3 linked regions of the Arabidopsis thaliana genome follow. The protein of the gene in region 1 interacts with the protein of each later gene in a pairwise test. Each region holds a gene or a part of one and is shown in the gene's direction. Other genes may lie near its edges. The genes, in order: AUG2, AT1G19980 and AT3G06530.

What was found.
Region 2: the proteins of AUG2 (region 1) and AT1G19980 interact in a two-hybrid assay, tested with the Arabidopsis thaliana proteins (one large-scale study listed by BioGRID).
Region 3: the proteins of AUG2 (region 1) and AT3G06530 interact in a two-hybrid assay, tested with the Arabidopsis thaliana proteins (one large-scale study listed by BioGRID).

Annotation. Positions count from the first base shown.
Region 1 is NC_003071.7:13,993,760-14,005,048, reverse strand, and holds AUG2 (HAUS augmin-like complex subunit), read left to right. Parts: upstream 1-5,099; 5' UTR 5,100-5,333; coding exon 5,334-5,456; intron 5,457-5,788; coding exon 5,789-5,914; intron 5,915-6,073; coding exon 6,074-6,178; intron 6,179-6,451; coding exon 6,452-6,520; intron 6,521-6,638; coding exon 6,639-6,752; intron 6,753-7,126; coding exon 7,127-7,480; 3' UTR 7,481-7,724; downstream 7,725-11,289. Other genes in the region: GH9B8 (glycosyl hydrolase 9B8), read right to left, coding at 381-635, 745-1,158, 1,449-1,688; AT2G32970 (G1/S-specific cyclin-E protein), read left to right, coding at 9,984-10,039, 10,599-10,737, 10,823-11,155, 11,240-11,289. UniProt on the Arabidopsis thaliana protein: Contributes to the assembly of the acentrosomal spindle and phragmoplast microtubule arrays as part of the augmin complex.
Region 2 is NC_003070.9:6,928,142-6,938,744, forward strand, and holds AT1G19980 (cytomatrix protein-like protein), read left to right. Parts: upstream 1-4,873; 5' UTR 4,874-5,020; coding exon 5,021-5,224; intron 5,225-5,347; coding exon 5,348-5,459; intron 5,460-5,554; coding exon 5,555-5,619; intron 5,620-5,711; coding exon 5,712-6,230; intron 6,231-6,373; coding exon 6,374-6,502; 3' UTR 6,503-6,912; downstream 6,913-10,603. Other genes in the region: AT1G19960 (transcription factor), read left to right, coding at 1-136; AT1G19970 (ER lumen protein retaining receptor family protein), read right to left, coding at 3,053-3,101, 3,200-3,324, 3,404-3,484, 3,578-3,718, 3,928-4,127, 4,234-4,456; AT1G19990 (nucleolin), read left to right, coding at 7,186-7,470, 7,577-7,672, 7,763-7,833, 8,221-8,524; TAF11b (TBP-associated factor 11B), read right to left, coding at 8,757-9,279, 9,434-9,525; TUB5 (tubulin beta-5 chain), read right to left, coding at 9,892-10,574.
Region 3 is NC_003074.8:2,016,242-2,027,565, forward strand, and holds the start of AT3G06530 (ARM repeat superfamily protein), read left to right. Parts: upstream 1-6,218; 5' UTR 6,219-6,354; coding exon 6,355-6,514; intron 6,515-6,602; coding exon 6,603-6,816; intron 6,817-6,898; coding exon 6,899-6,994; intron 6,995-7,085; coding exon 7,086-7,203; intron 7,204-7,293; coding exon 7,294-7,467; intron 7,468-7,560; coding exon 7,561-7,731; intron 7,732-7,902; coding exon 7,903-7,958; intron 7,959-8,049; coding exon 8,050-8,139; intron 8,140-8,227; coding exon 8,228-8,376; intron 8,377-8,479; coding exon 8,480-8,568; intron 8,569-8,648; coding exon 8,649-8,777; intron 8,778-8,862; coding exon 8,863-8,931; intron 8,932-9,030; coding exon 9,031-9,199; intron 9,200-9,296; coding exon 9,297-9,436; intron 9,437-9,521; coding exon 9,522-9,608; intron 9,609-9,723; coding exon 9,724-9,924; intron 9,925-10,070; coding exon 10,071-10,263; coding exon of another isoform or gene 10,264-10,280; intron 10,281-10,406; coding exon 10,407-10,504; intron 10,505-10,596; coding exon 10,597-10,740; and 4 more. Other genes in the region: SFR2 (Glycosyl hydrolase superfamily protein), read left to right, coding at 209-371, 608-884, 974-1,112, 1,232-1,398, 1,470-1,691, 1,779-2,283, 2,594-2,743, 2,845-2,974 and 1 more; AT3G06520 (agenet domain-containing protein), read left to right, coding at 4,043-4,480, 4,752-5,714. UniProt on the Arabidopsis thaliana protein: Involved in nucleolar processing of pre-18S ribosomal RNA. Involved in ribosome biosynthesis.

The DNA of each region.
Region 1 (11,289 bases):
TAGAATCACGTGCCATAAAACAGAACCATTTAAAGAGACGTATCCGCTTAGACTTAGAGGAACAAAAGCACGTGACCTTTAGTTTTGTTTCTGCTTCATAACTAAACTTTTTTCTAAATGCTAGTACTAATATTTAGTTATAAAGTATTTCATTTGCATACAAAGAGAAAATATTTGAATAGTTGTTGTACATATGTAACGTGGGGTGGGGAATACCTTACTTTTGGTAATTCGACGTGAGAATATTTAAACTTGATAATCACTTCACATAAGGCAATTATAAGATTCTACTTAAATCTTAAATTAGACTACTAAGAGGTTAGTGCTATAAATATTTCACTTTTACCACACACAAAATTGAACAATATGTAAGTACTAACCATGGAAGCTAGGAGTTGAACACCGGCGAACTTGACGTCCCAGCTAAACTCGGACATGGCCCAAGAAAGGCCACCTAGTTGGTGAGCCATGTCAACCACATAACTCATATAGTGCTCATTGTCGGTGGCTCGATAAAGCCAAGTGGCACCCCATAAAAGCTCGTCCATGTACCCACTCACCGAGGCATAATAACTTTTCACAACTTTTAGACTCTCATCGTATTTTCCTCTGTACTTGTCTCCAAACTCAAACAACTACAACCAAAACCATAACCATAACTTATTTAAATGTCCTACCCAAAAACATTAAAATGTCTGTTCCAACTGTAACATTAAATTAAATTTAAAATGAGTATGTATGTACTTGTTGGGCATGGTGCAAGAGAAGGTGAGAGTAATGTGGATTTGTTGAACGGAAAACGATCGAAGCTGCCGCCATAGCCGCCGCAGTTTCTCCAGCGATATCTGATCCCGGATTATTCTCATCGATCTTGAAAGCTCTCCGTGAAGTCGTCATGTCCTCCGGTCTTTGCCAACAGTAGTGGTCAGTGTCACCGTCGCCAACTTCGGCCCATAAGACATTTGGGCTTGTGTGTGCCTTGATGAAGTAGTCTGTTCCCCACTTGATGGCTTCAAGCGCGTGAGATAACTCTCCGGTGGAAGCGAGTGAGTCACCGTACTCTATTACACTCCATGACAACATTGTCACCGTAAAAGCCATCGGAAGTCCAAATTTAACATGGTCTCCGGCGTCGTGATATCCTCCCACTAAATCAACCTTTATTACCAAAATTTTAAAATTAAAGTCACATCACAAAATAAAACAAATAATTAATTTCAATACTTAATTCACAAAAGGTTTTCAAGTCTCATTCCAAACCAAAGAAAATAATTTCTTTAAATGGAAATCTACAATAAATTTATGTATTATTTATAAATTAATACAAACAATAAATTTCAATTCTCTTATTAAAATTCAAACTAATGATAGTAAACTGAATTAGTTTGAATTCAAAAATAAAATTAATTAAAAAATAAAATGACAAGAGTTTTGAACAGAAAACAAACCCCTTGTTCAAGACCATCGGTGAGACCAGAGTGATCACGCCAAGTCACGCGCTGGTTGTACGGAAGTCTTCCTGATCTCTGAGCTTCAAAGTAGAGTAAGCTTTTAGACAATGCTTCACCGTAGTCAAACCCTCCGACGTCTGTCTCGGAAGAAACACCATCCAACGCGGCAGAGAAGACAGTGATCAGAAGGAGGAGGAGAAAATGACATTGCTTGTGTCGGTGATTCATCACAGTCATATTTGTGAAGATCTCTTTCTCTAGAAAGAAGTCTCTGTTGGAGATGAAGAGAGAGCGAGAGAGAGAAAGAAAGAAAGCGATGGACTCTCTCACTCACTAGTCTCTCTCTATTTCTCTGCTCTCGCAGGAGAGGGATATATTTGAAAGCTCTGTGGAGTGGTGGAGGAGAGAGATGACGTGACTTTGTTTTTATGGTTAACTTTTGTTTTTAATCTAAAATATTTCCACATGAGAAAATGTGGAGACTTTTGCTTTTTCCATATAGTGGTAATGGCCGTAATTTATGCAGCTAGTTATTGCTTTTACTGTGCTAAATCTAGACCGAATTAATTAAAAGTGCATGTAGTAAAGTCATTTTACATACTATTTACAATTGTTGAAATTTTACATTTGTACTGTGTGAGAGGGTGTTTTATGATACTTTTCCTAATGATTTCAATTTTTGTTTCAAAAGGTGGTGATAATTTCAATGTATTTAGCGATCTTGTGTAATTTTGAAAAGTAGAAGGAGAGTGTCAGTTGTTGATAGTGTAACAGTTAAAGTGGACGATTTTGTCTCTTAATTAGTTTCTCTTAATTATTTCAAGTTTCCATGAAACGGTCCAATTAATACTAATAAATTTTCGGAACCGTAGAATGTCATTGCTAGGCAGAGATTCGTTTCTGTTTCTGTCGTTAAGGCTGCTGTGTTAGGCGAGAGAATCGTGAATAGTAAGGCTAATTTCTCAAATCAAAACTTTGGTTTTGGCTGGGTTCACTGTTACAAATTATAAAGTTTACAAAAACTATCACAAATGTTAAACTCAAATCTGCAGAGTATGAATACTAATTTATTCACCTCTATTGATATCTAAAGCAAAAACACCAAACATTCAAAAATATAGGATGGATCTAAATGGGTTTGAAAGATGGACCTGGGTCATCTTAATATAAGTTTGCCCACCACCAATAAAAACTGAGGGGTATGACAATGGGGACTAAGAGACACCTACACGTGTGCAGTGCCTACAACCATAAATTTGGCAGTAATTCAGGTTTCCGGAGTTTCATGATGACCGGTTTAATTTAGCGGTTTATCTTTTTTCCGAGCACCGACATTTTCAAAGTGGGCCTAACTATTTGTTACCTTCGAGCTAGCTCGACCGACAACTTGGTCAAAATAATTTGACTTGAGCGAACCAAAAAGGTGATTAGCGCCACTAAGCATGGAGACGTAAAAATTGTTAACGGGGAACATGCGTTTATTTGTTTATCATTACTTGTATCATTTAACTATATGAATAGCTGTTGACAAACTAATTAATTTTCATGTTGATCCACAACAAAATTCGTTTATACACTTTCATTATACTGTATCTTTTATAAAATAAAGTTAGTTTTTAAAATTAGTTTCGATTTGATGTTATATTATAAAATTTATATAAAGTTTACATTAAAAATCCTACTCGATATTCTTTTAAAATGTCTTTTTTTTTTAAATGGATTTTCTCTGTTTTTATTAGTGAACTTTTTCTTCAAAAAGATGACTATAGTTTCAAATGTGTTAAATTAATCAGACGGCAACTAATGTGGAAAAAAACAAAGTAATTCATATGATTAAGTTGTGTTGCATGCTGGTTTAATAAAGCTTTCTTTTTCAGTTTTCCTAGTCTTCCTCTTAATTTTTTTTTTTTTTTTTTTCAGTTTCCTAGTCTAGTTTTTGCTACGATTCAGTTTTCTTTCAAAGGATGTATATAAAAAGAAATGTTGTTAAAAATCAGTGAGCCCCAAGTGCATTTTTTGAGTTATTCTTCAGTAGACTGGCAGAAGAACGTTCTTTTCAAAGATAGTAGCTTGATCAGTTGTCGCAAGAACAATATTCTTTCAAATATTCATGAGTAGAAAAAGATGGTCGTTTCCTATCGTCTTGAGTCGCAAACCATTAATAACTTAATTAAAATGTTTAAAACAAATAAAACGCCTCTTAGTTGTGATAATCCAGTCGTTAAATATCAGTCTTATAAAGTTTAACTATGCATTGATTATTCGCTTAGCTTATGCATAAAATTTTATTCGGCATCTGGTGTGTGGTGTGGTTCGTGCAACCCGCTCAATTAACTCCGAATCTATGGAATTAATAATGTTGTCGTTGGTGGTTCCCATATTCCAAAAGAAAGAAAAAAACTAAATTATTTTCAAATGATTGAGCGCCACGTGTCTCTTCGTACCAGCACATCACCGACGACCTCAAGCTCCAAAGTTACACTATATATTCCACCTTACTAGTTACTACGATAGTATTTTAAGACAATATTTAAGGAACTTTATTACTTGTTTTTTGATAAAGAAATGAGAAGATGGGAATCGAACCCATTACTTAGCTTGAGTATAATATCATAAAGGAACCAAATGAGCTGCGAATAAACTTTATTAACCCCATATGTCTAGCTTATTTGGTGAGTACGAGAAGGATTGAATTTTGCTTGTTGTTGGTGCTGAGTTCAAACTTTCATTTGGGAAAGGATGGTTTAATTTCATTTGGGAAAACTTAAATTCTTGTTTATTTAAGCAGATTTGATGTGTTTATTTTTCTTGATAATTATTTTAGATTCATATGACAAGAGTCGGTCGATGAAATTTCTATGCATGGGTTTTGTTTTCTCTCCCTCTCTCTCTTAAATCCATGCAGAATAAAAAAATTGGCGATCCATAATAATGCAGAATATTAAATGCAAGGTATAAAATAAATAAATGTAACAATCAAATCCCAATGTTTTTAGTTAATAAATATGTTAATAACCAGATCTGTCAAATCTTTGATATTAAAGAGTCTTTTAGTATAAAGTGAAGAACTTTTTATTAGATCAAAATATGTTTTTTTGCTTCTAGACGTTCCATATTTCATAAATCTCCCACCGACGGTCTCACATTGTTTCGACTTTACAATTAATAAACGTGCCATAAGCTAGAAGCTTCTCAGAGCAATCTTATTAAAAACAATCTTAAGAAAGATTCAAGCTTTATTAATTTAGAAATAAGCTAAGAATTTATATACAGCTCAGCTCATGATTTCTTTATATATATAAAAAAGAAACTTAATATATAACTCGTAAAAAGCTTTATGTATTGTACAAAGAAATGAAAAAGGGAAAGACTAATTGAAAAACACCAAACATTTTTTTTTTTTTTTTTTTATCCATATCAAGGTTACCATATATTGATGTTATAATTTCTAAATACAAATATATTTAAATTCTCGTTATTCAACAACATTTTTTCATAATGGCATATCAACAATACTAATACAAACCACTAGTTTCTATTACATTGGTTGGTTTTTGTCGGGTTGCTTTCGTTCCGTCACGTAGCAGATCTCAGTGTCCATATTTCTCGACCGTCCGTAATAGCATGTTGGGCTATCTTCAGCATATTTCTGGGCTAAGCCCATTTTGGTCTTCGGTTCTTCTTCAGATGTATTTTTGTGAAGTTGTTGGATGACTTACAATTTTACATATACAAAAGTAAAGTATAAATTACTGAAGTAGGAAAAAAAGAAAAGAGTTTAATGGCATGACGAAAAGTTTTTGAATATTTTTGAATTTGGTTTTATATATAACAATCTGGATCCGCCACCGTCGAATTAATCTCCGGAAAGCTCGTCGAAAGATGTCGATGGGAGGCGACACGACGTGGGTTGGGAAGAAGCCGATCAGACGCATCGGTGGATTATCTGATGCTCTCTCTATCGCCTCCGATCTCGGTTTCGCCGTCGCTCCTCCTCCGTCGCAGGTAACTTCTCTTGTTCACTTTAATCTCATCCGAATCGGAATTGCGTCTCCGGTTAGTTCCATTAGCTTGAGTATAGCATATGCTTTGGGTTGTATGCTATTAGATTGACTTTGCAGAACAATGCGTATGAGAGATCTATAATTTGAAGGAGATTATGTTTCTGAGGAATGAGGAATTTTAGCTGCTTGTTAGTTTTGCGAATCTCTGGACCATATGTTTTGATTAGATCTTTGATCTCTTGGCTTTTATATACTGAATCTGAATTTTTCATCAAGTAGAGAATATTTATGGTTAGTTATCTCTTCAATTGGCTCAATCATTTTCCGATGTAGGAAGAATTACAAAGCTTTGCGTCTTCGAATGGGGAAAGAGGTGATGATTTGATAAGGGTATTGAGAGAGTTATCTGTTGTTCAAAGGAAAATTGCAGACTTGCAGGTCGAGCTTCAAGGGAGGAAGGTATCTTTCTCATGGTTTTGGTTTCTTTTTCAAATTGAAATAAGATATGGATCATAGTATTTGCATTGCCTGAAGCCTTATGATAACTTATTGGTATATCTCATGTAACAACTTTTGTTAGATGCTTTGTATATAACTTCTTTTGTTGGCGAATTTCAGGATGATAAAAATGTGGCGCATTTGACTCATGTTGGTGAAATGCAAAAGAAAATCGAGACTTTGTCAAGGATTACTCAAATATTGAAAGATGTTATACAAAACAAGGTAGGATCATTTTTCCTTTCTACTTACCTCTAAAATCTTCTCTCTCTTTTTTTTCTGGACTAAGGTTTATGTATCTTTCGAGTTCATTTATCTCTCTTTTCTGTCTTTAAGCGATATCCCTCTTATTCACTATCGTTCTGAAAATTGAGAAAATTCCTTAAGATGTTTTCGAAACATTAGCTTCTGAGTACGTCTTAAGACTGCCTTATCTTTTAGTCAATTTGTGACCCTCTAGTTGAAGTTTATTACATCATTTGTCTGTTTATATAACAGGATCGCATCATTGCTCGTCTCCAACAACCTTATTCGCTAGATTGCATTCCAGTTGAAGCAGAATATCAGGTGATTCATGCCATTTTATACTATTTGCAACTTTGAGGACCTTATTTAGTATCTGAAGTTGCACAACTGGAAAACGAAGATGCTATGTTTAATGGCTTTGTTCTGCTTTGTTTTTCAGAAACAATTCTCAGAGTTGCTAATGAAAGCCGCCAGTGATTATGGCGCCTTAACAGCATCCGTGTCTGATTTTCAGTGGAGCCAAAACTTTAAAGAACCTCCTTCAGTCTGGGGGGTACGATTTTACTCTCTTTTACATGCATCTTGATTTTTTTTCCATTTACATCTTTGACTTTCAGACATAACTCCACATGTTTAGTTGCATACATTGGATTACTCATTTCAGTTGGAATCTAATACATTGTTCATAGTGTAAGAGGAAAGCACTGTATTACACTACGCCATGCGTTAACTGTATAGAATACATTGCAGAAGGATCAGTTGTGTCATCAGGTCCTTGAATTAGATTTCTATGTGTTTAAACTCTTTGCATCAAGAGAGAAGGAGATTGCTACTTTTACGTAATGTGTTGCATAACAGTTGTTGATTTCGGTTTTACATGCTATAATCTCAATCTCTCTACTCTTTTTTTCCCCAACAAAATTATAGGAAATGCTGCGTCCAATACCTGTGGCACTAGCGTCATGCACGAGATTCTTTGAGGCCATGTCTGCGATGAGAGAATCATTCGCGACTCTTCAAGAGCTTCGAGTTGGTAACTCTGCAGTTTCTTTACCAACAACACCAGGAGGTAACGAAATGACACATAGAGACTCAGATTGTGTGACTCCACCTCAAGGGAGGATAGAGTCAAGCTTCGACGATTTAGCTGTTCATAAAACAAGGAGACAAAACAATGATCAAAATGAAGAAGAAGAAGAAGAAGAAGAAGAAGAAGATGGTAATAACAATGGGAACCGGAGACTATCTTGGCCTCCTTCTGTAAAAAAGAGTAGCGTTTAAACAGTTGCTTTTGTCTTTGCTTGAGCTTTTTAATATCGATCGTGTTTTGTTTCATCAGCATTAGTGTTCTTTATGGATTTACTTATTTCTATTTGATAGTCTTTGAGTGAAACTTAAAACAGTGTATATTTTGTTAACACTGGTTTTCATGGTCCATGTGACTATCATATTTTAGTCTGTTCGTTTGTTCGCCGCTTGCGGCTGCGGCAGACCGCGGCAAAACTACCGCAAAATTAAAATATTTCATAGATGTGGGAATTGTTTTAGTCGAGAAATCTAAAGAGGGGTCTATAAAAAAAGGATTAGCATTCATAGGCACAATCGTTCCACTAAATAACTCGTATGGTCTAAATATTGTAGTATGTAGACTGTAGAGAGTAGACCATGAATTTAAGACAACTTTAATTGAGAACCGGTGGCACCTAATCATATTTTAGCCACCTAGTTACATAGCCCGGTCTGGTCTTAAAAGTAGTTTGTGTAAATTGGACAATAAAACCTCATATATCATTTACATGATATTTAAACTGTAAAACTCATCACTATTTAAAACTATAAAACGAACCACAAAAGTGTTTGCAATAAAAAAAATACCACTTATATATAAAATTCATATCAGATTAGATTGCATAGGTTCACTGCCAATCCATGGCCAACATTTCTAAATGATATACAGTACATGAAAGACTATTATATTCAACTATTCAAAGTTATCTGATGGAAAATTATTACATGAAATCAAATAAGTAGTTGAATCTGGATGATCGATCTCAATATTCATATTAAAATGGAACACACTTTTGTTGTTAGAGTATTGATATAATGCATGTAACGTGAAATTGCAATAATGCATCATATATAGGTTTATATAGATTAACTGAGAGACATCACTTGCGTTGGTTACTCAATAATTACGTAGCTAAAATTAATAAAGCGGCGTTAAGGACCCACCCACGAGCTCTATCTATATATTTCCGTGGTTTTTGTATTCGAAACAGAATCGATCACATACGTCCAAATTTTGATTTGTTCCTGGCCCACTCCTTATCCTTACGCGCCCGAACGCGTGTCCTTTTAAATTGACTCTTTCATATAACCAAAATATCAGACCAACCTCTGGTTTATTCGGTTTAGCGATTATACTCATTATTACACATTTTCCAGACACACAAATTGAGATTATTTAATTTCTCACATTTCAAGTATATATTAAATTTCGGATGCGTGCAATTAAATGAAACGAATAAATATGTGCAAGCGATTAATGTACCGACGCAGGCGATGAATATTCGTATTTCTCGCAACTTTAAATGTCGATGATACACTTTTCAAAGCATAACTTTAATGTCAAATGTCAATTCATTGTCCATGCGTCCATTTCCCACTCTCGACACCTATTTTCATGTCTTAAATTCTTGATTTATTGCTTCATTTTTGATTTTTATTTTTATTTTGTTGTTTACAATTCATTATTTCTTGTTCATTTTCTGTAAGACATTTGACAAATTATACAAAAGAATCGAATCTACAAAACATATTCTAATCTAAACAACAAAATCTAAATCTAACAGTCTCAAAAATATTTGACAATCATGCAAATATGTTACAGATAATATCAATTTTTCATGATGCGAGAAAATACCATTTTAGTGCTCATTGAATAAAGATGCATTATTAGTTTGCGGCTTTTCAGAAGACATCAAGTCTCAAAGGACCATTATGTAATTTGAAGAAAATAGGAAACTACACGCGCCTGCCAAAGAAGGACCTTATCCCACGCGTTTATATATCTTCCAATCCATAAGCAGAGCTTCTCTTCAACGTGCTCCGGTGAAGATTAAAAACCGACGAGACCCTGGCGCCATCACAACTACGCAATCTCATTCCTCCGTCTTCTTCGGCTTTCAAATTTACCATTTTACCCTTCTCTTTCCCTGAGACGTCTTCTTTGGAAATATTCTTCTCTTCTTCCATTCCAAGTAAACCCAAATTCTCTCTCTCTCTCTATCTCTCAAATTTCAAATTCCGGATTTATTGATTCTCTGGTGATAAACCTAAACCTCTGGTTTTGATTTGTGGTTGTTATTGTTGCTACATTAATGGTGCTTTTAATTTTTTCTCTGATCCATTTCTCGCCGTGTGATTTCAAATTTCTCCGGCTGTTTTTGTTCGCCGGCGGGCGGTGTTGATTCGATTCTATACGATTTGAATTTCCTTTTTCTTTAGGTTTTAGAGTTTCCTTTTCTATTAAGTAATCACACAATTTTACAAATTTGTTCCTAAATTTATTTATGTCATTTTACCAACTAACTACCATTAATTTGTATAAAACTCGTCGGCAATAGCTTCATGACCTCTTTCTCTCAAGGCTAAGCTCTTGTAATCTCTGTTGAGAATTTGTTGTGGAGTATGATGATAATGACGAATAATCTGGAATTACGTCTTTCGATTTTTCAGTGATTTTGAGGTTAATTGGAAATTAGAGTGCAAAATTGGGATTTAGATGGGGATTGCTGATGAATCTAAATGTGTTTTCCCCTTGACGAGTCTCCAGATCGGGTAATTTTATCTATCTATTTGATCTGCATTGCCGCTTTTTTTTTTTTTTATAAGTTATGATTCACAGGATCAATGATTCTGCAGTTAATTACGTGACCTGTTTTTGAATGAAGTACAAGCTTGTTGAGCCTTTAATTGGAAAACTATGTTGTCTTTCCAGACAAAACAAGATCTGTTTTTGTGGTTTTGACAATTTATTATCTAAGTTCTGCAATTAAAGCTATCACTTATTTGTGTTTCTTTCATTATCTTGATTCCAGGCTTATGTTCCTCTCCTGAATCTGAACTAGTAATCAGTTTTTGGTGTTAATGTCTTAAACATTTCCCTCTGAAGTGAATTATATTTGTTCTAGCAATTCTCTTGTCCAGTTTCTTGAAATTTTCTTCTACGTATGTGATATTTTAAAGTCTCACTCGTGTTGGCTACTTTTTCTTAGCAGAGATCTTAATCTGATGATACTTTCGTGTGTTTTTTAAGAGTTAACTACATTGTCACACTTTATTTGCTTGATTGTTCTCTGCTTTTCTGGTTAACCTTTGTTTTTTTGGTTGGTTACAGAGACTTGCAATCATATCTTTCTGATCTCAGTATTTTCCTGGGAAATAAAAGTAAAAAGATTTACATATTGGTGGATAACCGGCCATGGTTGAATCCTGGCACCAGATCTGCTCATTTTTGGCAACTAATGGTCACAAAGGTTGTAAAAGCTGCTTCAAGTACATTTCTCTGTGGTGTGTAGGTGAAAAATTATGGTAAAGTGACACATCTATCTTTGTTTGCAGTCCAGACTCTCCCCTTTTGCAAACACGAAACTTCGAGGGGAGAAGAAAAATCAGAATCAGGACAGGGAGAAGAAAAAGTCGAAGCAGGAGGAGGAAGAGAAGCCTAAAGAGGCTTGTTCTCAGCCCCAGCCGGACGATAAAAAAATGAAGAAGCTTAAGCAGTGGTTCTCATTGATAGATGCGACAACTTTTTCGAATAAGAAATTACCTGCAAAGAAACTGCAGAGCTCTTTGTATCTGAAAAAGCAACTGCACAAGACCTTGTATGGTTTCATCGTGTTTGAGATTGAATGGGCTAATGTGAGGGGTATCAACTACTTAAATGAGCTACAGGTACTTCTTGCAACTGTCCACTTTTTTTTTGGTCTGACATTGTGTGTTATTCTTGTTTCTTACTTGATCTATATCTTTATGTAGACAGACACATCTCTTGCTATAGAAGCTAAGTTGATGCGAAGGTGGGAGTT
Region 2 (10,603 bases), on another chromosome or scaffold:
CGGTTGTAACGGAGGAGGTGGTGGAAGTGGCAGTGGAAGCGGCGGCTCCTTTGGGAATCAGCCGAGGAGATCAAAGGTGAGGAAGCAAGTGTGGGCTGGAGTACTCGGCATCTCATCCGACTCCACCAACAATTAATAGTTTCTTCTTTCTTTCTCTTTTCACCTAAGAAATCATGTGTAGTGAAAAATGGTGGTGGTAATTACTATGCTTGATCATCGTTTCATGTTAACTGTGTCTAAATAACAAGCAAGAAATATATTAGACCACCACCATCGTCATTGTTATGAGATTATATGAAGTATATATATTTTTACCTTCTGTAATCCGAAAACCCCCCTCAAAAAGTGATAGTATTTTATTTTTGGTCTAGAAACAATTAGGGTTTCTCCTTCGAATCGATGTATATAGCAAATATCATTAGCAATATGAATGTTAGTCAAGTAGGTGAGATCGCTTACAAATAATGTTAAAAGTAAAATCTTATGACAAATTGACGCTAAAGTATCGTCTGAAATATAAACATGGTTAAAATTTTCAGAAAAGAATGTGCAATATTATATAAAATGATCAGTTTAAAATAATTCAAAGAAAATAAATATTTATGGTGTGTGATCCATAATAATTGTTCTTATCCATCCTCAACAAATATTTGCATATACGTCCCCAGTTATATTCTCACAGACTATAAACTACATGAATCATCATTTTGAAATCGTACAATATAATCGTTTCTCACGTAAATTACTGCAACATAATACTATCCAACAATCAAGTCCAGTATTCAACTAAATAATTCATGTTCCCCTTATCTATAGGCCTCATGCTTGATGAGATAAAATGATAGGATATGTAGTTTAGTGTCACCATCCGGACTTAAATAGACAGCAACCTCAAATTTGTTATAAATTTATAGACCATTAAATATATTTTGGGTTGTCATTTATATATGAGCAGATCAACAGACTCAGAGGGTCTCTAGCTAATTTCATCACAAATCACAAAACCAGTTATTAATATATGAATCATGAATGTACTATTCTATACACCAAAAACTTGAAACCAATTGAACTGGTCTTATTTTAATATTCGACATAATTAAACAGAATTAGTCTTAATAAACTCAGAGAAATGATAAAGTAATTGAACTTAGTTATGATTATCAGGTGTTGTTTAATCTTAAAGTAGAAGACATAATCATAACTGTCTTAAGTTATTGTACCAACAAGTATAACTTATAATTAGAAACCCCTCATCCTCTACTCATTTCATCAAAAGCATCTGCTCTTGTTTGTAGAAACATACTCAAATTTTAAATCAAACTCTTGTTTTGTTCTCTTGGCAATATTCATTTTTTTTATAAGTTTTTTTATAAGTTTTTTTTTTGCTACGGAATGGTCCTTAATCTTCGTCACTAATTAACTAGCTAGGTCAAACCCAAGTGCACAATGTATCTGAAGCTGCAGGACCACAACTTAGTTTCAACACCATATATAATAATTATACTTACTAGTACTTCGGCTTTTAGTTTTGCCTTAATTACATATATAATCAGCCAATGATTAACCGTTTATTAATTCTCGGCATCATGTTTCGTCACTGTCAACGAAGGTCGGTCTCTTAAAATTAAATTCAGCATTATCCATGCGATAACATAAGCTACTTCTAAATTTTCTACAAATTAAAATAGTAAAAGTTTTCCCTTCTCTTGAATCTTTACAAATTTTTGTTTTAAATCTATATGATTTTTGTCCAGTACTTTCTTGGTTGGTCTACCAAAGTAATCATAATAAATTTATTTAATGTATCCTGAAGATGTTACATGATTAATCCTTACATATATTCATCTATATCCAAGTTTCGTATACACAAAAAAGGTCACTTTGCCGAAGACAAAGGAAGCCCATACAAATGATTTGTTCACATGCAACCTTCACTTATTCTCTCAAGTCTCAACTTGCTTTTTTCATTAACGTTTATATTAATCCTTCAAATATCAATATTTTAATATTTTAAAACCCAATATCAAATATTTATGTAAAGAAAATATAGATTATGAAAAGCTCCTAACAACCCCTTACAATGTGTATAAATAAGTCTATAAATACGAGCATCACAATCAAACAAAACACATGCAAGACAGGCTATAAGAGACTTTATAATATACACCAAACTATGCAAAAACCATTTCAGAGAGCTCATCCTAACACACACTCGCACTCCTTCACCATTCATATAAACGAACCATTTAATCATCATCGTTACTTGGACCATCATCATAATCACAATACCTTCATAGGTTTATCTTCATCAATGAAGCTCTTCTCCAAATTCCGCAAAATTTTCATGAAGATCATCTTCGCGCTTCCTTCTTCCTCCTCCGCAACCGTACGTCCTCACAAAACCGCTGACTTCGGCAATGGTTGTGATAGGCTAGAGACGCCGAAGATATCGTGCAGTAATTCATACTACTCCTCACAATCTCACTACAGTGAAGCTATCTCAGATTGTATAGACTTTTTCAATAAGTCTCAACAAGAAAGTGAAGACCGGATTGCTCATGATCACGACCGTTTTTACGTTTAGTCAAACTTCAAAGAAAAATAATGATCTCATGTCTTTTCTTCTTCTAGATAACTCAAAATTTTCTTCTCTTAAGCTCAAACTCTTATTAATCTGTATTCACAGTCTCTGCATGTTTCCCTGAAAGTAAATCTCGAGTTCAAATAACCAAAATGGACCTCACAATTGTTGTCTTCCATGAATGTTAGAGAACATCGAGACTTATATTTGTTGATCCGTTTCCAACCAATTTTAAAGGAAGCAGGTTGTGTTTAGTTCTTTCCACTATCATTCCAAGAGACCAAGAGTTGTAACTGTAAGCGTTGTGTATCAAATCATATGATCGTGGAGTCAAAACGTCATCACAACTAAAATCTGAATTAACATTAATGCTTCTTTGCTATCAAAAACTTTTAAATCATACGAGTGTCTCAAAATCCCTAATCATTAAACCTCTCCACAAGCTCAAGCACTCCATTTTCGCAGAGCTTTTTACACCACACCAGACGGGAGTCGAAGAACGAGCTGTCCACCCATTAAACTGTTCCCAAAAACAGAACAAATTCTAAATCTTTAGACATTCAAAACATTTCAACAATATCGCGATTATATAATGGGCGTGGACCAAACGTTTTTTACCTCTGAACATAGTAATAGCAGAAATCTGCAAGAATGAAGGTTTGGACTATTTCAGAGATGAGGACCATTACAGGCCACAGTCCAGACCCTAATGCAGTCAGTAACCGCCCTCGCGTATCCAACACCTACAAGCGTTTAAATCATTTTTAGAAACATTACAATATGGAGATATGTGTAGCCTAACAAGGATAAAAACTCCAGAACCTGAAGGATCCAGTGTGCACAACTCAAGAACCTAGCAATTCCCAAAGCAAATACGTAATGTGCAGTGAATGGTTCCACAATCTGCGAAAAAAGACATAACATTCAAGAAAGATTCAGACTCAGCACTGTGGTAGCAAAAAGCTCAAGGCTTTAAAGCGCAGTAGTATCGAGTACCTTAGTGTTCTGCATGACTCTTAATTGAGGAAGAACTGAAACAGCTTCAAGATAAACACAGAATGCCCAAGAAATCCTGTTTATGATGTGGTGACGTGTTGATGGATGAATGAAGAAAGACAGAACAGCACATGGGATTACCTGAAGCAAATCAGAGTAAAGCTCTCAAAACAAACATTACATCGCCATGAAGATTCTCAACAACAATCAATATACAAGTTCCAAAGTTCTTTTTATGATATAAACTAACCAAGTTGAAATTGTGAACTCATACATTATTCTATTACACAAGTTCAACACTCAAAAACACATTTAACATAATCTATCAACAAAGAGTTTGGTAAACTTACGACGAAATAGATAGCAAAATTGTCTTTATCTTCCATATAAGTAGGTCTAAGCTTGAAACGGATCATATAAACGACCCAAAGAGTGGTCACCAAAGTAGCTGAATCAAGAAATGTATGAAGATCAAACTCCATTACAAAGCTACAATACAATCTCACAGCCAGAAACAAAGCCGTTAGCTCCTGTGTCTTGAGAGATATCCCTGTTTTAAATCATCAATTTTCAAAATGTCAAAATCAATGAAACAAATTAGCCCATCACATACTTTGAGAATCAAATCTAATCAAGCCATTCTTAAAACCTAATACCAGCACAAGTCTTCTCCTTTGTGAGCTTATAGATAAGAACAGCGATACCAACGGCATGTACAGCCTCAGAAGCGACGAAAAGATTGTCGTGTTCATGAACAATCACCCTGAGGAGAACAAGCACCGTCATTGCCGTTACCACGCCAAGAAAAGCCTTTACTTTTGGCGGTTGCCGGCGAATCCACGCCATTACGGACTGAATCGGATTCTTCTCCGCCTTCATCGTTCGGACAAGATCTCTTTCTCTCTCTCCCTCGCTCAGATCAAATGTGTGATTAATGAATGATTATCACACAACTTCGTCTTCGTATTGAATTGGGGAATGAATGATCTGTAGAATTCTTAACGCAACCATACAATGGCAATGCCATTACTTTCGCGAGGAAGACACGTGGAAGCTGTTAGGTGAGAGACTGATAGTTTCTTGTTAACTTTGGCTTCGTCTCTTCTTGTCTGATGCATCTATCGTATTTATTACACTAAACCGGTTTGGTTTGAACGAAAGAATTTACAAAACCAGTTTAACTAATTTGGCACGTGTGATCGATCGTGTGGTGAAGAACGAGCCCATTAACGGCCCAATGAAGAGCGCGTGTGGCTTTAAAACTTTATATGCACCGAATCTCTCTTTTTTTTTTCTGGTCTTGCAACTTCTAATTCTTCTAACGGTCTTATATCTCTCTAGAAAATCTCTCTCTCTCTCTCTACAATTTTTTTCTTCTTCTTCTTAAAATTCTTCTGTGAAGTGTGCTTCTTCAATTGGTAATTCGAATTTGGGTTTTTTGAGATGGTTGTGAAATCGGTTTCTGGAGATTCGTCGGAACGGGAAAACTGGGAAACGATTTTCAAGAGTTTGGTCAAGATTTTACAGACGAAACAGGACCAGCTTGAGTCGCTTCTCAAAGACAAGAAGATTCTTGAAAGTGAGATCAAGACTAATAACGAAAATTGGCTCTCTGATGTTCGAAATTACGAGGATCAACTCTCTCTGGTAAAAACCCCCTTTTTGATTCCTTGTTTCAGATAAAGTTAGGTTTTTTAGGGTTTCGCTCTCTCCTAAACAATTTTGAAGTGTAATGCTCTTAATTCCTCTGAAATTTTCAATTGTTTTCAGATGATGAAAGAAATTGAAACGACTAAGATGTTTCAGTTACTGGAGACCTATAAAAGCAATCTCTTGTGTGGCTTAAAGGAGAAAGATCGTTCTCTTTGCAATTTGAAACTAGGTGAGTGGCTTATTTGGTAACAGATTATAATAAAGTTTGTTCCTTTCGTTTTCTACAACATGTGAAGCTTCATGAAACCAATTTGGAAACTGCAGAGCATTCGCTGGATGAGTTAAAAGACTTCAAGGCTTGGTTTGATTTCCTCACTCTGAATACAAATGTAAGTGAAAGTTTCAATTTTTGTAAGCTCTTCTGTGTTTTCTTGTTTTAGGATCTCATACAATGCTTGTTGGTTTTATATAAAATGTGCAGGTGGAGAGTGTAAGTGGCAATTCAGAAGGTACGGCTATTAAGTCATTGGAAGCAAAAATCAGAAAACTGAAACTTGAGTATGAGAAGCTTGCTTCTGAAAAGAAATGTGAGGTATCTGATCTTTTACGAGAAAACGGGTTTGCGTGGAATCAGTTCAAATGTATCGAGAGTGAATTCACTGATAAGTTAAAGAGGAAAGATGATGAGATCGTTCAAGCGAATACGAAAATTTCCAGTCTTATATCTTATCAAGAGCAGCTTCAGTCATCTAATCAAGAGAAGGATGAGACTATCTCAAGGTTAAAGGCTAAGATGGCTGAAATGGAGACCAATTCTACTAAGAAAGATGAGGAAATCTCAAAACTCACAAGGGATCTAGAGTCTGCAAAGAAGTCTCGTGGGTTCACACCGGTTTTAACTCGATGCACCAAACTTGAAAAGCGTAGCAATGGAAATACGGTGGGATCTCATATATCTACTAAGAAAGACAAGTCTGCTGCATCAACAACAAATGAAAAGGTATAGATTTGAATATGCTTGAGGTCTGTGTGTTTTTAAATTCTTAGGAGCCGAGAGAACAGAAGGATTATATACATTGTTTAATTAATTTCGATCATCTTACAGCAGAAACATGTTGATTAACTTTTGAATCTTTTGATCAGGTAAGCAAAAGCTCAAAGAGGAAAAGAGCGAAGAACATGACACCGGTCTCGGTTTCAGAAGTCCCAAAGCTCTTCACTTCGACTTTTAGGCTTCCCAAGTTGAAGTCTCCATCTAATGGAGCCATATAAATTATTAGAGAATTTAGGTTATTGAAATCTGCATGTAACCTATTTGTATTTAGGATCAAGCCCCTGATGTATATCATGCAACTGACCAGTGACCACACCCATTAGCATCTAGTATAACTCTTACATTAGTTTCTTTAGGAAGCTCATATTGCATCTAGCAGCTGTGTTTATTTCCTCTGTATTATTGTGTCTTGAAGCTTAACCAAAGAAGAAAACAGCAATGGCGGAACATCTGCCAATGCAACAAAGATTTCAAGCGGCTTTGAAGAAGATTTTTTTTCCGGTTTTATTTTGTTTATAGCTGAGAATTCCCTCTTGTATGGATTTGATATTTTGAATAAGATCATTTGCTTCTTGGTATTGGTGTTGTATGTCGAATCACTGAGTGTGAAAGTGAGCTTTCTGCTTCGCACCAATTCAAATCCAACTTCGATTCTGTATACAACAAGTATGGCTTATTGCAGAAACGTTTCGTATTTAACCGGTTTCTTCTTTAAACCGCTAAATTTCGGTCCGGTTCAGTGGAATGATTTTGCTTTTGGGTTTAAACGACGCCGTCTCCAAGCCTCCTCTTATTTTTGGATTAGGGCACAATTGACGGAGGAACACAGCGGTTTCTCTTCTCAAATCTCTCACAAAAATTTCATCAAAGGTTTCGACTTTTTTTGATTTGGTAGAAGAAGATGCCACCTTCGGAGGATGTGAAAGCTATGAAGATGAAAGAGGAGGCTGAGGAAGACAATAAGAGCTTGAGTTCCTTTGCGAAGAAGAAACCCACGAACGGTAACAATGCTGGTTCGAAGAAATTGAAGAAAGAAGAGAACGATGACGATGATGATGATAACAAACCTATCAAGTCATCTGTATCTGGGTCTCGAGCTAAGCCAGTGAAGAAGAAGGAAGAGATTGATAAAGACGATGAGAAGAAGCCTGTTTCTAAGAGGAATTCTTCTGTTGGTGTCTCAAAGGTTCGATTTTTATTTCTTTCTCTCTCTGTTTGAGTATAAATATTGAGGATGGTAAAATATTTGATGAGGCATTGTTTTGATTATGAGTCTCTCTCTTTGTTTATAGGAGAATAAGAAACCAGAGAAAGAAGAAGAAGTAAAGAAAAAGAGAGAAAGAAAAGTATATGATTTGCCTGGTCAGAAGAGAGAGCAGCCTGATGAGGTATTTTTTTGCTGCTCTGTTTCTCTGCTTTTTAGATTTGTTGTTGAATTCGTCTGAAGAATTTCTTTTGTTGATTTTGCAATTCTGCAGAGAGATCCACTTAGGATTTTCTACGAGTCACTTTACAAACAAATTCCCACTAGCGACATGGCTCAGATTTGGTAAGCTCTTCTATTCCTTTCTCTGCCTTACATTGTTCTGCAACTTTAAAACACTTACACTTAATGTTTTGTGTTTGGTATGTATCTGATTATTTGTGTTTGATCACTCAATCTGCAAACTGAGTCCTACACCTTAAATTATTCTTTTGGGACTTGATGCATACTTGCGTTTGATTTTCGATGGTCTCTTGTGTTTTGCGACACGGTTTAAGCTAGTTCGCATAAATTTTGAACATCATAATTGGACTCACATTGTATGTAAGAAAGGGGAGTCCTTTCAAACCAGTCACTCAAAGCATTGATTATATGATCTGTGATGGTTATGTGTAATATTTGCTTTTAGATTGCTTTGTTTATTTGAAAACCCTTTTGTGGTTTTGATCACAGGTTGATGGAGTCTGGATTGCTTCCAGCCGAAAAAGCAAAGAAAGTTCTTGAGAAGAAACTGCAAAAGGGTGGAAAATTAAGTTCTCCAGTAAAATCTGCTGCTTCTACTCCAAGAAGCAACTCCAAATCAGTGACCGTGAAGAAGAAGGAAGTACAAAAGTCGCCATCTGAAGCTTTGTCAAACAAAAAGAAGGGAAATGATTCGAAACCAACCACGAAGAAGAGGAAGAAGAACTCTGATGATGACGACTCAGATGATGATTTTTTGGCTAGCAGAGTCTCTAAAAAGGCTAGAGCCAAGTAGGTTGAATTAAAAGACTGAAATCTCATTGTGTTATTTGTAATCGTTTCTTAGGGAGTCAATTTGTAGAATGCTTGAAAGGTGAATTCTTTAAGAGTAATGAGAGAGATGGCCAATTGTTTCTGATCTTATCGTGTACTTCTTTAGTTATTAAGCAAAGACTTAATCACGTTTGGTTTAGAGCATGATAGTTACTCTTCGTCCATGTCACTACTTTGTAACCTCGTCATTCTGACTAGCGAAAAAGCCGTTGAACTGATCTTTGAGGCACTTTTCCTTGGAGCTTTAGTCTTCGATATGACTCTCTGATATGGCAAGGTCTAATAGGTCCTGATTCCTTCCTTTCCCTCATAACAACTCGAGCTGTTTCCACAAGGTCGCCAACAAACATCTTTGCGATACCACGCACAACGATGTTCATAGTGTCGTCCATCTTCGGACCCCCTGTGATTCTCTGTACCAACTTCTCCATGTCTGATTTCTTAAAACCAGATCTTCTGAAAGATTCATATCTGCTCATTTGTTCCTCTGTAAATTGTGATAAAATCTTCTGCATCTTGTTGGCTCTAGTCACAGGATCAGCACCAGTTATGTTTTTGGTGAACTCAACTTCATCTTTGTTCTTCGCTTCAGCAACAACGGACGTTTTACATTTCTTCACAGCTCTCTCATCTCCTTCAAGAGTCTGCTCGGTTTCAACAGGTGATTCCTCTTGCTCCTCCATTGCTGCTTCAAACGGATCCTTCGAATGCTTCATTCTTAATAAAACCTTAACGAAAATCACATATCTTTGGATCTTAAAACTCCAAAATTCAGCCAATTTTTTTGTTGCACATCCGACCACACTAGAAAAAATCCGACATGAACATGAACTCAAAGAAATCAATTTTTTGTACTTGTAATTACAAGTACCTTGGCACTGGCTGATCTTTCAGACAATTGCAGTTACAAGTAACCCGCTCGTTGCTACTAGCAAAACAACAAGACCTTGCGTTAAAGGCCATTTATTGTCAAGCCTATTTTTTAAGAAGCCCAAATGTAAAAGTCGGTGGGAAATGAAGTATCTTTATTTATAGAGGCAAAAGTTTAGCTTCCTTTATACTAATTTACTCGATGTGGGACAATTGAGAGAAGTGTAAAATTTATATACTACACAGTAGCTTGAGAAGCAAGGACGTATTATCTCAAATGGAAAATACAAGACACCCAAAATAAATGGAAACTTCAAACTTTCTTTGAACAAATTACTCAAACAAAAAACACATTTAAACAAATTTCCCATTTTTTCAATGTTTTTCAATCAAATTTAAATAGAGAGATTTCCAAGAGTCGTTTCCTTGTCTTTTAAGTAAAATGTTTGATTTGGTGGATCAAGTCTCATAATCTCCCTCCTCTTCTTCTTCAACATCATACTCACCTTCCTCATCAGCAGTAGCATCTTGGTACTGTTGGTATTCAGCGACCAAATCATTCATATTGCTCTCAGCTTCCGTAAACTCCATTTCGTCCATTCCTTCTCCTGTGTACCAATGCAGAAACGCTTTACGCCTAAACATAGCCGTGAACTGCTCACTCACTCTCCTGAACATTTCTTGAATCGACGTCGAGTTACCCACAAACGTCGCCGCCATTTTGAGCCCCTTTGGTGGGATATCACAAACGCTGGATTTCACGTTGTTTGGGATCCACTCAACGAAGTAAGACGAGTTCTTGTTCTGTATGTTTAGGATTTGCTCGTCGACTTCTTTTGTGCTCATCTGTCCTCTGAAAATAGCAGAGGCTGTGAGGTAACGTCCGTGACGTGGATCAGCTGCACACATCATGTTTTTGGAGTCCCACATTTGTTGAGTCAGCTCAGGAACGGTGAGTGAGATGTATTGTTGCGAGCCACGGGAAGTGAGGGGCGCAAAACCCACCATGAAGAAATGGAGACGAGGGAATGGGATTAGGTTCACCGCGAGTTTCCTGAGGTCAGAGTTTAGTTGTCCGGGGAACCTTAAGGAGCAAGTCACACCGCTCATTGTTGCGGAGATCAAATGGTTCAAGTCTCCAACTACATCATCATGCAATGTATCAGAATTA
Region 3 (11,324 bases), on another chromosome or scaffold:
AGAGACGTACACGGACTTTGGAGCTGAGCCATCCACACACGGGACACGATAAGGTTGCGAGCAAAGTGATCACCACCAACCACTTCTTATCACGCCGTTTCAATGGGCCTTTAATGGGCTCTTTTTTTCATAAACCCGTTTTGTTTTATCTTTTCTCAGTGTCGGTAAAAACTAGAAAGATCCGGTGATTATTTCATCATCGGCGATTATGGAATTATTCGCATTGTTAATTAAGGTCGCCGGACTTTTGGCCACTGTCACCGTTGGAGCCAACGTAGTTTCCTACTCTCGTTTCCGTCGCCAGAATCTCGCGAAGTTTCGCTCTCCAATCGACGAATCTAAAGAAGTTCTCGCTGATTTCAATTCCATTGGTAAGAAGCTCTCTCATCTTCTCCGACTCCGATTAGTATTACTGTGAAATGTGTTCTTCCTTCTGGTTTAAGTTGTTGAGCTTGATGTTCTGGAACTCTTTTAGTTAAACGATTTCTCCCTTTTCTGCATTATTTTGGACTCAGACCAATCTAAAACAATATCCTCTGCGTTTGATTCAGTTAATGTAGAATTTAAATTATTTGTGAAGGAATTGATTTTAACATGTTTGTTTCAGAACACGAGGAAGGAAAATTCTTCTTTGGGTTAGCTACTGCACCTGCTCATGCGGAGGATGATTTAGATGATGCTTGGCTCCAGTTTGCTAAAGAAACACCATGTTCAGCAGAAGAAGCAGAGGCTGCTGATAAGAAAGCTAGGAGGAAGAAGGTTAAGCTTGCTGTGGGAGCTATAACCAAAGGCTTGGCCAAGAACACTCATGGCAAAGAAGATAAGAATGCAGCTGATAAGCCACCCTCTAAAAATGTTGCCGCGTGGCATAACGCTCCTCACGCGTGAGATTTCTAACATCAGTTTCACCAAGATTGTTGATGCATGTATAGTAAACATTAGTGTCGACAGCTCAAAGTTCAATTTGTTTCAGGGAGGACAGGCTTAAATTTTGGTCAGATCCTGACAAAGAAGTGAAGCTAGCCAAAGATACTGGCGTTACTGTCTTTAGGATGGGAGTCGATTGGTCTAGGATCATGCCAGTTGAGCCCACCAAAGGAATTAAGGAAGCAGTGAGTCAAGAAAATATTATGACACGTTATGTTTTACATATACTATATGTGTCAATGCATTTTCTTTTGTTTTGCCATTTTTTGCTAAAACTTTGTATTTCTATTGTTATGCTTTGTAGGTTAACTATGAGGCTGTCGAACACTATAAATGGATACTTAAAAAAGTTCGTTCAAATGGAATGAAGGTGATGCTAACGCTGTTTCATCATTCATTGCCACCATGGGCAGCTGACTATGGTGGCTGGAAAATGGAGAAGACAGTCGACTACTTTATGGACTTTACCAGGTGACTGTCTCATCAAATGAGCTATTTATGGACATTCTGTAGGTCTTAATCATCTTTCTATAACATGCCAGGATTGTTGTGGATTCCATGTATGATTTGGTAGACTCTTGGGTAACATTTAATGAACCCCATATCTTCACCATGCTTACCTACATGTGTGGATCTTGGCCCGGTAACAACCCTGATTTTCTGGAGATAGCTACATCTACTCTACCAATGGGTGTATTCCATCGAGCCTTACACTGGATGGCTGTTGCTCACTCAAAGGCCTATGACTACATCCATGGGAAAATGTTAGTTTTTCTCCTTTTTCTTAAAAAAAAATCCTATGAATTTCTCTCACTAGCACATCTTAATAGTTTCCAACTCTTATTTTGCAGTTCTTTGAAAAAACCTTTGGTAGGGGTTGCGCACCACGTCTCCTTTATGCGACCATATGGGCTCTTTGATATCGGGGCTGTTACCATTAGTAATTCCCTCACTATATTTCCATATATCGATAGCATTTGTGAGAAGTTGGATTTCATAGGCATCAACTACTACGGACAGGTAAGAGAGCTACAAGTAAAAATTGCTATTAGGTCTCAAATTTTGATTAATAATATTGCTTTCTCTCGAATAAGTATGTTGGAATCTGACTCGAGAAATCAGGAAGCAGTGTGTGGTGCTGGACTAAAGCTTGTAGAGACTGATGAATACAGTGAATCGGGAAGAGGGGTATATCCTGATGGTCTCTACCGCGTGTTGTTGATGTTCCACGAGAGATACAAACACCTGAAAGTTCCTTTTATCGTCACAGAAAATGGCGTGTCTGATGAAACAGATGTGATTCGACGACCTTACCTGATCGAGCATCTCCTTGCCTTATATGCTGCAATGCTAAAGGTCTTTGTCCCTGAAACTCTCTGAATCATGCAAAACGTTATTTCCAGCTTAACTATTGAAATTTGGTAGCATTGTTGTGATGAGCCTGGTCTGTTAAAACCTCATCTAGACCTCAAAATCCAGCCATGATTTTAGTCCACGGGCCATCCTGGACCCATTAAGGCAAAATGGCGGGTACCTGGCTCATCCAGCATGTGACGGGCTTAGACTCAAAAAGGTCATCCGTTGCAGGGCTGGGCTGGCTTTGGGTCGCCATAACAACCCTACGTATTGGCATATCTCTCACTTGTGTTTGTGGCTTTCACAACAGGGTGTTCCTGTGCTCGGTTACATATTCTGGACTATTTCGGACAATTGGGAATGGGCTGATGGATATGGTCCAAAATTTGGACTTGTTGCGGTTGACCGATCCCATGATCTTGCCCGAACTCTTCGGCAATCATACCATCTCTTTTCCAAGGTTTATTATAACCCCTTGTGGTTTTTACTACGCTTGAGAGTTGAGATCACCAGATCGCTGTTCGTCTCATATGGCTTTTGTGTTTTCCTTGCTCTTTCCAGATAGTTAAAAGTGGAAAAGTCACTCGGAAAGATCGGTCTCTTGCATGGAACGAACTCCAAAAAGCTGCCAAAGCAGGAAAACTACGGCCATTCTACCGAGGCGTTGATAATCATAATCTTATGTACGCAGGTTGGTTTACAACTTCCAACCTTGCGTATTTTTTTTTTGTTTTTCCAACTTTTACTTTATATAATCTTACTTCCAAGGCTTTGTTTTGTTTGTTTAAAAGATGGTCTCGACAAGCCTCAATGGAGACCGTTTGTTGACCGCGACTGGCGGTTTGGTCACTACCAAATGGATGGTCTTCAAGACCCGTTGAGTCGCGTGGCTCGAACCCTTCTCATATGGCCGCTTATCATGAAAAAGAGGATAAGAAAAGTTAAGATCAAGCACACCGATGATGCTGGGCTTGTTCTACATCCTGCTTTAGCCTCACCCTTTGACTAGAGAAAGAGGTAGAAGAAATCCGAGTGTACAAACTCATTTCCCTGTATGATTTGCCAAACCTTTGGGCCTTTGGCGCCATTAGAGACGATTCACCGTTTTGTTGTTAATGTTTAAATAAAGGCAAAACGGCATGATGTTCGGATGAGGTGCTTTGTTTTTTACATACGCCTCGGGACTTTAACCAACGACATTTGGTTGGACCAATTAATAGTAAGTTTAACCGACCCAATGTCCGGTTTTTGTTCAGCTTGATACCTTACCCTGGTTGGAACTTGGAAACGGCAAGCATTCAGCTATTTGTATAAAAAGGAAAGGTGGAAAAACTACACGACTTCTCTGGAGCAAAATTTTAGGATGAGGTAGGCTAGGCCCATTTTAATGTCCATGAGTGATTTACTAGACTTGAGATCCACGGTAGTCCCAGATCAACGGCTCTTATTTTGACACGTGAACAAAACACAAAAAACACCTCGCGTTGTGATCTGAAGGATAAAGAAAAACAACAGGACGTTGTATTACATAAATTAGAAACGAGGTGCTGTTTTGGTGTTTTCCTTTTTTCGGCATTGACCTATCTTGACCGACTCATAATATAAGCATGCTTGTGTCGCCACTGTCTCTTTCTCTATATATAATAGCTCTCACTCTTCTCTGATTTTCTTCTGTTGAATCAAGGTCTCTGGAAATTTCATCATCTTCAGTCTTACTCCTATCCCTATTTTCTCGTTGGGTTGCACAAATTGTTTACTGATGACGAGCGATCGATTTTGGCGCGGCGGTGACCGCGTTGAGGTGGAACGACTAGTTTCTGGCGCGACGGCATATTTTCCGGCGAGTGTTGTTAGCGCGCCTTCGGTGAGAAAGAAACTCGTTTGGGTGGAGCATGAATCCCTAACTGTTGGAGGTTCCGTTTCCGTACGTATGAAGGAGTACGTCACTCCCACGCGCCTCCGTCCATCTCCACCGCGTGAACTCAACAGACGGTTCAAAGCTGACGATGAGGTCGATGTCTTCAGAGATAGCGAAGGTTGCTGGGTTAGAGGCAATGTTACGACCGTACTTGAAGATTCAAGGTACATTGTGGAGTTTAAAGGGGAAAATCGTCCAGAAATAGAGGTTGATCAGTTCAATTTGAGGCTTCATCGTGAATGGCTAGATGGTGGGTGGGTTCCTTCTCTTCTCCAACAGGTAAAACATTTCTCTGCGTTTGAATTGAATCTAGGGTTTGTAGAAAAATAGTGAATTTAATGTTTTAGGGATTAAGATACATTGAAAGATTTGACGAATTAATTGTAAATTTAGTAAAACCAAAAAAAAAAAAAAAAAAAAAAAAAAAAAAAAATTGTAAATTTAGAAAAAAGACTTAATTATACTATATATACTGTATGTCAAGCAATTTGAATTTGAAGATTTGTTGGAATTTGGCATAATAAACTCACACTGCTTTTTTGATTTACAGAGCAATTTCTCGGAATCGACAGCCCAAAGAATTAAACTGAAGATAAAAATCAAGAGAAGAGATCAATATGAGAAGGGAGCTCTTGTCGAAGTCAGAAGTGAAGAAAAAGCTTACAAGGGTTCTTGGTATTGTGCTCGTATACTTTGTTTATTAGGTGATGATAAGTACATTGTTGAACACTTGAAATTTAGTAGAGATGATGGTGAGTCGATCCCTCTGAGAGATGTGGTAGAAGCCAAGGACATAAGACCAGTTCCTCCTTCAGAACTCTCGCCTGTTGTGTGCTATGAACCAGGGGTTATAGTTGATGCTTGGTTCAACAAACGGTGGTGGACCAGTAGGGTTTCCAAAGTCCTAGGAGGAGGTTCTAATAAGTATTCAGTTTTTATCATCTCAACTGGTGAAGAAACGACAATCTTAAATTTCAACTTAAGGCCCCACAAAGATTGGATCAATGGACAATGGGTCATTCCTTCCAAGGTATTGACTGATGTGCCGGAAGAATGTTACAAACCTCCATTGAAGAAGCTGAAATCTTGTGAGAGAGCAGAGAAGGTGTTTAACAATGGAATGGAGGTGGAAGTTAGAAGCGACGAACCAGGTTACGAAGCCTCATGGTTCTCTGCAAAGATCGTAAGTTACTTGGGCGAAAACAGATACACAGTGGAGTATCAAACACTAAAAACAGACGATGAAAGAGAGTTGTTGAAGGAAGAAGCAAGAGGTTCAGATATAAGACCTCCTCCTCCTCCACTGATTCCAAAGGGGTATCGATATGAATTGTATGAACTTGTGGATGCTTGGTACAATGAAGGATGGTGGTCTGGTCGAGTATATAAGATAAACAACAACAAAACGAGATATGGTGTCTACTTCCAAACGACTGATGAGAGTTTGGAGTTTGCTTACAATGACCTTAGGCCTTGCCAAGTGTGGAGAAACGGAAAATGGAGTCGTGTATAAGGATGAGAAGAAGTTGGCTAACGGTTACAACTATTAATGAAGAGGATAAGGAAAATGACTTGTTTATAGTACATTTTTTGTTTATGAACATATGTTTGAAGTTGATGATGTCGTTAATTGTCTGCGTATAATATAATATTTAACTTCTAATGAAAGAGGTCAGGTGTTAAGTTTCTTTTTTGTTCTCTGTTCTCACTTCCATTTTACTGAAATTCTTGGATAGATGGGTTTGTTAATCTTGGCAAATGTGATGTGAACAGTGATTGTATCTTGACTTTCTTACACTTGTTTCAAGACTTTCTCGATTGAGGAATTAAAACGCACAGTTTTGTAATAGTAGCGGCAGATTAGAGATGGGCTTTATTATCAAGTTGTAAAACTATTGGGGTTTAAATTCGAAAAACAAAAAAATAGGTCATGGTTTAAAACGCAATTCCATTATAACTCAGGGGTTTCCTTGTTTCTTTATATTACTATATCTTCCAGATTAAAAATAAAAGGATCGTTAAACCCTAAACCCGCTTCTTCTTCTTCTTTCTCTTCTTCTCCCTCAACGCCGCTCTCTATCTCTCTATCTCTCTCTACCTCAAACTTATTCTTCGAATTTCCTCTGAAGAATAATCTTATCCCAATAGCGAGTATGAGTTCTTCAATAGTGTCACAGTTACAGGCTCTCAAGTCAGTGTTACAAGCCGATACAGAGCCTTCCAAGAGACCTTTCACACGCCCTTCGATTCTCTTCAGTCCTAAAGAAGCAGCTGATTTCGATATCGAATCAATTTACGAGCTCGGGCTCAAAGGTATGTTCTCTTCTCCTATTATGCAATTCTAATGAACAAGCTCAATGATAAATTAAATTCTCATCGTTAATTATTTTTGTTAATTCAGGTCTAGAAGTACTTGGAAACAAAGATGAGAGGTTTAAAAATTACATGAACGACTTGTTTAGTCATAAAAGTAAAGAAATTGATAGGGAATTGCTGGGTAAAGAAGAAAATGCTCGGATTGATTCATCAATCAGTTCGTATCTACGTTTACTCTCTGGTTATCTTCAATTTCGTGCTTCCTTGGAGACCCTTGAGTATCTCATACGACGATACAAGTATGTGTTTCCTTATCACTATTGGTTATGTATATTTGCCTTTGTTCGTTCATCGAATTGTCCTAATTGCTCTATATTTCAGGATTCATATATACAACTTGGAAGATGTGGTTCTATGCGCCTTGCCATACCATGACACACATGCCTTTGTCCGCATTGTTCAACTGCTTTCTACTGGGTGAGTATATATCTTTCACTTTCGATTTCGAAGTGAAGTCTCACAATTTATCATATCGATTAGTAAACCCTGGTTCTCATTTGCTTTACAGAAATTCCAAGTGGAAATTTCTGGATGGTGTTAAAAATTCAGGTGCTCCACCTCCTAGATCGGTTATCGTTCAGCAATGTATACGTGATAAACAAGTTTTGGAGGCCTTGTGTGACTATGTAAGTAGCTGTTAATATTTTTTTTCCCTATAAACTGGTTTTTGAATGGCTACATCAAACTGAACATCTGAAATCTTGGTTACATTGTAGGCATCTCGTACTAAGAAGTATCAGCCTTCAAAACCTGTGGTTAGCTTCTCCACCGCAGTTGTTGTTGGGGTGCTCGGTTCAGTTCCAACTGTTGATGGAGATATTGTAAAGACGATTTTGCCATTTGTGGACTCTGGTCTTCAATCTGGTGTGAAAGGATGTTTAGATCAACAGGTTTTTTAGTGGTTTTCTTACCAAATATTTTTCTCTAATTGATTTTGTTATTCAGTTGATGTGCCTTTTATGACAAACTTTATATGGTTCTAGGCTGGAGCGTTAATGGTTGTTGGCATGTTGGCAAACAGAGCTGTGCTAAATACTAATCTTATCAAGCGCTTGATGAGGTCCATCATCGACATTGGTCGTGAACATGCCAAGGAATCTTCTGACCCGCATTCGCTTCGATTGTCACTTATGGCCTTGATCAATTTTGTTCAGGTGCAATAACTTTCTGTCATCATGAACTTCTTACATTTTAATTTTCGATATCACGAATGTATAAACTTCTAAGTATGAGGTGGACATATTTTCTATTCCTCACTGAGGATTCTGCTCACAAGTGGTTGGTGTTGATTGTTTTAAACAATTAATTTTCTGAATCAACTACAGCTGCAATCTGTGGACTTGATCCCAAGGAAAGCATTGGATCTTTTTAACGAAATAAGGTATCTGAATATGAACAGTCTTCCTTCTGAAGCTTTTTTTAATTGTAACTATTACTAGTATTTTTTCAACGATGGCTTCAATTTTGTGCAGAGATATTTCTGGTGTTCTTTTAGGCTTGTCCAAAGAGTTCAACATCAAAAGATTCCTGGCAGTGCTACTGGATTCTTTACTTTTTTACAGGTGTATATCAAACACTGTTTTGTCATTTTCAAGCGGATGGATTTATTTTGTTAGTATTCATGTGTGATTTACTGTCATCTTGTTGCAGTTCGTCTGATGATAAATGCTGCGAAGTTTTAGCTTCAATAATTGAGACTGTTCCCGTAAGCAATTTGGTTGATCATTTGATCTCCAAGGTTTTCTCTTTATGTATGACACAATACCAGAAGAACAGTGATTTTAGATCTTCTACATCTGGTTAGTGATATGTCAACTACTTATGTCATTGAGTTTTGGGTGTTCATTTTTGAAGATTCTTTTTCAGATTCCTCTTTATATAACCAATATTGTTGCAATTTAGTTGTAGGAAGCTGGGCCAAGAAATTTCTGGTTGTTGTAAGCAAGAAGTATCCTGCTGAACTACGTGCCGCAGTTCCTAAATTTTTAGAGGTCTGTGCTCCAACTCTCATTTAGTTATTTTCCTTTGTGTTTGTTATATGGTCTTCTGAGTCATCGACTTCTTGTTGCAGGCTACTGAAGTTCAGTCGAAGAAAGAGGATTTAAAGCTAGAGATGTTGTCTTGTATGCTGGATGGGAATTCAGACATGTCTCACCCGTTTGTGGATTCAAAATTGTGGTTCCGGCTCCACCATCCCAGGGTACTATAACCTCTAATCTTAGTTATGTGAATAAAATTTTTTATTTACTTTTTGCGCAAGACTGAGGGCTTCTTATAAATAATAGGCTGCTGTACGTTGTGCCGCGCTTTCTAGTCTAAATGGTGTTCTCAAGGATGATAGCTCTAAAGCAGAGGTATGTGTGGGGTACTCATTCCAAGTATTTTTTGTTTCTTTACTTTGACTTCATGTCATCTTACTGTTCTTCAATATCTTTTTTACCCTCTCCATCCAGAACCTTGTCACAATTCAGGATGCTATACTGCGTCAGCTTTGGGATGATGATCTGGCTGTTGTTCAGGCTGCCCTCTCTTTCGATAAGTTGCCCAATATAATAACCTCTTCTGGTCTTCTGGATGCTTTGCTTCATGTGGTGAAACGATGTGTTGGCATTCTCGTATCAGGTGAATAAAGATGCTCTGTTCTTTTCTTAACTTGTTTCAAGTGTGGAATTTTCATATGTTCAGTTAGTTTACCTCGCACTATCCATTCTTGTTGCAGGAGTATCACATAATGTTCAACTGGCAGTTGATGTTGTTGCTTTGTCTCTTAAAATTGCTGTCTCAAGCTTCGGTAATCAAACAGACTCTACTGAGAAAGTTACCTCTGCAATGTTCCCATTTCTCTTAATTCAGCCGAAGGTTCTTTCTTGTTCTCTTCATTTTCTACAGCTATGGCGAAAGTCTTGTTACTTCTACTAATTGCTGTAATCATGTCTTTTAATAGACGTGGAATTTAAATCTACTTGTGCTAAAGTTGGGAAAGGATGTTAACTGGCCACTTTTCAAGAATCTTGCTGCTGATGATGGAATGGTAAATATGAGTTTACGATTTTACTATCCTTCAATACTCCAAGTCGCAATCACAAATCTTTTAATGGTTGTTGAATATTATTATCATGTCATCTGAAAAAGAAAAATTGTTGCAGAAAAAGCTCCCCGATATCATGTCTACAAACTTATCCTCAATTAGCATGGATATTATTAACGATTTGGGAGAAGCACTCTCCTTGGATCCTGATGAGCGTAGGATTGAGCTTATTGAGAGAGCGTGCAACTATAAGCTCTCTGAAGTTTTGGAAACATGCAGCAATATCAAATGTTCAGAACAGGATCGTAACAAGTTGCAGGTTTGTCATTACTATACTGTTTTCGTAAAAAAAACTTCCAAGTCCGCATTGCTATTTCAATATTTTAACCTATTTCTTGTCTTCACATACTTGGTATACTATTATTCGTTGTTTCTGAGATTTTATAAATGGTTATTTCATATCAGAAGGGACTACTGATCCGTGAAAGTGTGTCCGCATTGAACATAGATGTCATTAACAAGCTGGTGGAAGCATTTATGATGCACCCTGCTGATTATATTCAGTGGCTTACTGTCAGTTGCCGAGATTCCACCTTGTCAAAGACACTGTTTTATATGATTTTGATGCATTCCCTGCAGAAGATGAATTCTTCATCTGGTAAGCTTCTGTCCATAGTACTGCGTTAACATACATGCTGATGTTAAAGTCTTTTTTTTCATTTCTAAGCACCGTAGAAAACTTGGTCTTACATGATTTTAACCACGATATGATGCTGATGGCTGTGTTTTCCTTTGATTTAGACCCTAGTCAACTTTTGGATCTTTTCGAACTTTGCTTTCCTGTTTTGAAGACTGAGTGGGAAGAACTTGAGGTCGAGGTTGATGTTTCTCTGAAAGAGGTATAGAATTCTACCAGCTGATGTAATATTTTCATCTGATGGTTGATACATATATTATCTTGTTAGTTGATATATTTGTGTATTACTTGCAGCTGTCGAAAAGCAACTGCCAAGAACTCCTATATCAACTCCTTGATACCTCTGATTTTACTGCTCTGAATTCGAAGGTTCTGATATGCTTGTTTTGGAAGTTGGGCGAGTCATTCATTAAACTTGAACCTGCCCACGATGCTTCGGTGGGTGATGCTCAACCATGATCTCGTTATATTTGGTTATATTGAAATTTTTTCTACCCAACCAATTGCAATGCTCACAACTGTATTTGTGTCACTTCACCTTTGTTTAGGTTTTGAACAAAAGGTTATCTAGCGGACTTGAGGATTTGTTTTTCTTTTTTGCAACAACTCGGTTGCGGCATGTCTTCAAGGAACACCTTCATTTCCGTGTGAGAGAAGCCAAAGTCTGTCCTGTTTTGTTTCTATCCCGACTGATCTCACGAGAAGGTTTGCATGGAAATTTATATTTCCTGCTAGTTTATAATTGATGTTATAAACTACTGATCCCACTTTTTATTAGTTGATAATTCTCTCGTCTGTTTTATGCTGTTAAGGCTCGTGGAATCTATTATCTGGTAACTGTTTCTGTTTATTTCGTATCCTGTTTTCTTATGCTGCAGTCTTCTTCTTGCAGATGTTCCTCCTCTTGTCCAAATTGAAAGTCTCAGATGTTTTTCGTATCTTTGCTCTAGCGGGAATAATGAATGGTTGATTCAAGTTTTTTCAAGCTTTCCTGTACTTTTGGTTCCCATGTCAAGTGATAA